Tribolium castaneum: one gene and its partner. The protein of the gene in region 1 interacts with the protein of each later gene in a pairwise test. Links are inferred from orthologs where the notes say so. Each region holds a gene or a part of one and is shown in the gene's direction. Other genes may lie near its edges.

Region 1 (2,494 bases):
CGGGAGGTTATTGACGATATGCCGTTGCCTCCCGGATGGGAGATCAGGTATACGGACGAGGGGAAGCGATATTTTGTCGATCATAATACGAAGACTACAACGTTTGATGATCCCAGGCCGGGGGCGCCCAAAGGGCCCAAGGGGGTGTATGGGGTGCCGAGGGCGTACGAGAGGTCGTTCAAGTGGAAGATTAGCCAGTTTAGGTAATTGTTTGATAAAAATAAAATGCGAAGCTAACAAAATTTTCCTTTCAGGTTCCTGTGTCAGAGCAACGCCCTCCCCAGCCACATAAAAATCCAAGTGTCGCGTCAGACCCTCTTTGAGGACTCCTTCCACACGATAATGCGCCTACCGGCGTACGAGCTCCGAAGGCGCCTCTACATCATCTTCAAAGGCGAAGAAGGGCTAGACTACGGCGGTGTGAGTCGCGAGTGGTTTTTCTTAGTCTCGCACGAAGCCCTAAACCCGATGTATTGTCTCTTCGAGTACGCAAACAAAAACAACTACAGTCTACAAATCAACCCTGCGTCGTATGTGAACCCCGAACACCTCACTTACTTCAAATTTATTGGGCGCTTTATCGCCATGGCTTTGTACCACGGGAGATTTATTTATTCGGGTTTCACAATGCCCTTCTACAAGCGGATGCTGGGGAAGAAACTTGTGATGAAAGATATTGAAAGTATAGATCCCGAATTCTACAATTCGCTGGTGTGGATCAAGGAGAACAACATCGATGAGTGTGGCTTGGAGTTGTACTATAGCGTCGATTTCGAAGTTTTGGGCCAAGTGGTGCACCATGAGTTGAAGAAAAACGGCGATAAGGAAAAAGTTACGGAAGAAAATAAAGAGGAGTATTTGACGTTAATGACCGAGTGGAGGATGACAAGAGGCATCGAGCAGCAAACTCAAGCCTTTTTGGACGGTTTTAACGAAGTTGTGCCCATTGAGTGGCTGAAGTATTTCGACGAGAGGGAGTTGGAGCTGCTGCTCTGTGGCATGCAGGAGATAGACGTGGACGATTGGCAACGACACACTATCTACAGGCACTACACGCGAAGTAGCAAGCCGGTGGTGTGGTTTTGGCAGGTTTGTATTAAAACCACGTTGTAAACCACTTCTATTTTTTCTTTCTTCTAGTTTGTGCGTCAGTCTGATAATGAGAAGCGGGCCCGCTTGCTGCAGTTTGTGACAGGGACGTGTCGTGTGCCTGTGGGCGGCTTCGCCGAACTGATGGGTTCCAACGGGCCCCAAAAGTTCTGCATTGAAAAGGTGGGGAAGGAGTCGTGGTTGCCGCGCTCGCACACGTGTTTCAATCGTCTTGATCTGCCGCCGTACAAAAGTTACGAACAGTTGGTGGAAAAGTTGACTTACGCGATTGAAGAGACTGATACGTTTGGTCAGGAGTAAAGTTTCAATTGTGTAATAACAGCCGTACCTGATTCTTGACCATGGTTTGAGATTTCGTTTCTTTGGGCCTCTTCTTGCAGTGCTTGTGCAATTTTTGTTAGTTTGTTTGTGTTGTTACTTCGGTCGGATTGTATTTCAATGTGATATGTAGAAATATTGGCCTATTTTCTAGCTTATCTAACAGATTATAACTAAATGTAAATACTTTTTGAAGAGAAAATAATGTGGGGAAGACTACATATTTTTGAATACGAAAAATGACATTCCATCGTGGGTGTGCACTATCATAATTATTTTTTTAATTTTATTTTTAACCAAAGTATACACTGACTGGAACCGAACTGGCTTGAAATTTCATTTACAACCTGTTTACTTTATAATCACTTGTAGAATATTGTAAAGTGAGGAAATGTATATAAATATGCGAAGCGAATTATTAAATTATTACAAGTAAAACAAGTTGTTTTATTTCTTAAAACGACCTCAACAACGTTTCTGTTTTTAATGCTTGCTTACGTGTCCAGAATATATCAATAAATAAATTTTTCTATTTTCATACTTTACAATTCAATTATTTAAAAAACTGGTCAAAAAACGGCCAAGGTTTGTTACCCAATTCCGGAAGTTTCCTTTGTTGCGGGAAAAATTTATCCTTCTCATTCTCATCTAAGTTTACCAGATTTTCAATAATTTCTTCTTTACCTTCTTTATCTCTACGTTTTGTAATGGTATATTCTTTATCAGCTACTTTTCGCGTGATGGTCGTTTCTTCATTACCCTCGTTATCCCTCACAGTATGATGCGTTTCAATAGACTAAAATATGAATAGATTGATATTAAATTTTTAAAATCATAACACGCAACCGTACCCCATCTGGATTCCTAACAGTTTTGGAGGTAACACTTTGGCCAAAAAAGCGTGTCCTCGGTACTGGCGTTTGAGAATTTTCACCCTTAAAAACCGATCCCCAATCCCTTATATCCAACCTAAAGTAAATTTTTCAACGGATTAAAACAAAACAAACAAAAATTTTATCGTATACCTGCCGTCAATGTCTTCATCTCTTTTCTCTTCAATTCTCTC
Region 2 (2,933 bases), on another chromosome or scaffold:
GGAACGAACCGGTTTGATTTACGGCCTCGTCTGCCAACACCAGCGCTCGGTGGGCGCGGCCAAGTCCGAAGCCCCTCCCCGTACACTCCCCGACCGATTTGGTGGAAATAATCTCATTAATCAAAAAGTGAAATAAAATCGTTTTGAACTTTTTCCTCCGTTTGATTATTTGCCGGAAGAAGACGAAAAACGGAAATTTCTCGCCGGTTTTAATGAAAAACTCCCAACTTATTCACATATGGTAGCAGTAAAAATAATTCAGAGGTGATGAAACGCAAACGCGAGCGTTTCCTTCCATTTATAATATGTCTGTCAGTGCTCTGACCCAGCCTGCGACCTCTGTCACCACATTCATCCACAAAATGCATAAATAAATGCCGACAATTTATTAAAATAAAACAATTTTTTGCAAAAATTACAAATTTATTCAACATTTTTCTTTTTGTACAAACAATTAATCATGTCGTCTTGTCAAGTGGGTCTAGGAAAAAAAAACAAAAAAAATCACCAAAATATATATTTGTAATAATAATAATAATAATAAGTTGTAATGAAATGGCCATTAACGGCACGTTTGCCAGTGTTGCCAACTTTGTAATCGTGGTAAAAGTCGGTATAATTTAAATTAGAATTGAGCAATTTATTCACAATCCCCTAAGTTGGTGATTTCCACGTCCTGGTTGTGGTAGCCCTTAAACCTGCGGACTAAATCCCCCCAAAGACAGGGTTGGCAACACTTGGGGCACCGCCCCTCCACCGGCACGTAGTCGCCCCCTTTGAGAAAACACTTGGACAAACAAATAACATGAGCGTTTAAATCGCACTCAAAATTCAAACACTTCATTCCATTAAAAACCTCATCATTACACAAATAACAAAAATTCGTTTCGTGCGATAGTGTGACAACACTTGGGATTTTTTTACTAATAACTGGGCCGTAACAAATTGGCATATGGTCCGGTGGCTTTTTCTACAAAAAAAAAAACGACAAGTTTTTACAAATTTTTGGCAATTTTTACCTCTAGATCGCGTCTGAATTCATCATTGAGCCAGCGAATCGTCAGCGGGAGCCTTTTCCAAGGCCCCACTTGCAACATTTCGCTTAAAACCCTAATCGTAAAATCGTAAACTTTTTCTTTGGTATTTTTTTTCGAAACGTGCGCCAAACGGCGCGAAACGTGCGGGTGTTGCCACGCCCACTCAAACTAGAACAAAAAAACCCTAGATTTGAAACCAAATCAACGTCCGATTTTTACTCTTAGAGCCGAGATATTGTTCGGAAAGCCGTGAATTATCAAAACCATCGACCTGAAAGTGTTATACAGGGCCGGTGTGTGGCGTTTTGTACCTACCAGGGCCCCTTTTGACTGGTCTTCCAGGCGCCACCGTGTTGCTTCCCGCGGTTGTGCTGCTTGATGCGGCGGTTGGGGTCCACCGTGTAGCCGATGTAGACGCGCCCCTTGTACTTGGGGTTGGTGCAATAGAGCAGATAAACCCCGAAAAAGTGCATTTTCGAGGTTAAGTTCCTAGGGAATTTGGCGGTGTGCGTGCACACTTGACTGTCACCCCACCTCACCTGTCAAATTTCAGTGTGTAATGGGTGATTAAAAATTGCTTTTTCCCAACAATTCAAGTGCTTTTTTTGATATTATTACGTTTCCGGTCGTTTTGGACTAAATCCGCGACATGGCGGCCACGCGAAGACTGCAAAAAGTGGGTATTTTCCGGGCGAGATTCCGGGCTCATTCTGTATTTTTGCTAGGAGTTGGGGGACATCCGGAACTCCGGGCTGAAGTCGTTCCGGGACATTCAGGTCGACGAGACGAACATTTTGACATGGCAGGGGCTCATAGTTCCGGTAAGTGTGCGAGGCTTCGCCCCCAGCTCACGGCGCGGTTTTAGGACAACCCCCCGTACAACAAGGGCGCGTTTAAGATAGAGATCAACTTTCCGGCCGAGTACCCCTTCAAGCCCCCCAAAATCACCTTCAAGACGAAAATCTACCACCCGAACATCGACGAAAAGGGGCAAGTGTGCCTCCCGATCATCAGCGCTGAGAACTGGAAGCCGGCCACCAAAACCGATCAAGTGATCCAAGCCCTGGTGGCGCTGGTCAACGAGCCCGAGCCCGAGCACCCCCTCAGGGCCGATCTGGCCGAGGAATACATCAAAGACAAGAAGAAGTTCACCAAAAACGCCGAGGAGTTCACGAAGAAACACAGCGAAAAGAGACCGACGGACTAGTGGGGCGATTACACCAACTGTGATTTTACGAATTTTTTTTCTACCACGCTCGAGGGGGCCCTTTATTTTATTTTTAAGTGAGTGGACTAAATCGTGGGATAGATTATTTAATTCGCTTATGTAACATAATCAATAAAGAAGTACTTTCATCCAACTTGAGCCCCCATTTTTTTTGTGGGGTTACGGCCCCAAAATCACCACAAATCCCCAAAAACACGATCGTTACGTTGCTTTCTGGCCTAATTTGGACGCCAAATCGTACCAAACGCCCACAATTGCTAAATAAAACGCTTGGTTTTTGTGAGGTTAGGTTGCCCAAAGTTGGGCCAAACACACCAAAACTAGTTCTAGTTAAGTACAATCGGCACACATCAATTAATTGCGGCGCCAAAGTCATCTTTTGCCCAATTATAATTCAAATGCCCAGTTTTAAACACTTGAAATGTTTTTTGAGGTTAGGCCACAAAAATGGGTTAATTCAACCAAACGGTGTGCTTATTTTTCCAATGCGGGCCTCTCTACTCATTTGTAATTATTAAAGTGCGATTTTGTTGAGTTGTGACCCAATTATGATAGTTTCAAGGGAATTGCAAAAAGTGAGGTTATGTAACACCGGACGAGGTTTGGGGGAAATAACTGTGTGAATAAAACACGTTTATTTATTCGTATCAGGACTCGCTTGTAGTCGC

The links.
Region 2: the proteins of Su(dx) (region 1) and Ubc10 interact in binary tests that used the Caenorhabditis elegans proteins (3 or more experiments, as listed by UniProt). The link is inferred for Tribolium castaneum from reciprocal best matches to the Caenorhabditis elegans genes wwp-1 and ubc-18.

The regions. Positions count from the first base shown.
Region 1 is NC_087398.1:5,358,400-5,360,893, reverse strand, and holds the end of Su(dx) (E3 ubiquitin-protein ligase Su(dx)), read left to right. Parts: coding exon 1-203; intron 204-254; coding exon 255-1,089; intron 1,090-1,140; coding exon 1,141-1,410; 3' UTR 1,411-1,869; downstream 1,870-2,494. Other genes in the region: HCLS1-associated protein X-1, read right to left, coding at 1,982-2,224, 2,280-2,397, 2,454-2,494. UniProt on the Caenorhabditis elegans protein: E3 ubiquitin-protein ligase which accepts ubiquitin from an E2 ubiquitin-conjugating enzyme in the form of a thioester and then directly transfers the ubiquitin to targeted substrates. Ubiquitinates klf-1.
Region 2 is NC_087401.1:17,188,581-17,191,513, forward strand, and holds Ubc10 (ubiquitin-conjugating enzyme E2 L3), read left to right. Parts: upstream 1-1,571; 5' UTR 1,572-1,686; coding exon 1,687-1,713; intron 1,714-1,762; coding exon 1,763-1,858; intron 1,859-1,902; coding exon 1,903-2,244; 3' UTR 2,245-2,398; downstream 2,399-2,933. Other genes in the region: structure-specific endonuclease subunit slx1, read right to left, coding at 641-970, 1,020-1,205, 1,257-1,308, 1,353-1,510. UniProt on the Caenorhabditis elegans protein: Ubiquitin-conjugating enzyme E2. Accepts ubiquitin from the E1 complex and catalyzes its covalent attachment to other proteins. Required for diet restriction-mediated lifespan extension, probably acting as part of a complex with ubiquitin-protein ligase wwp-1.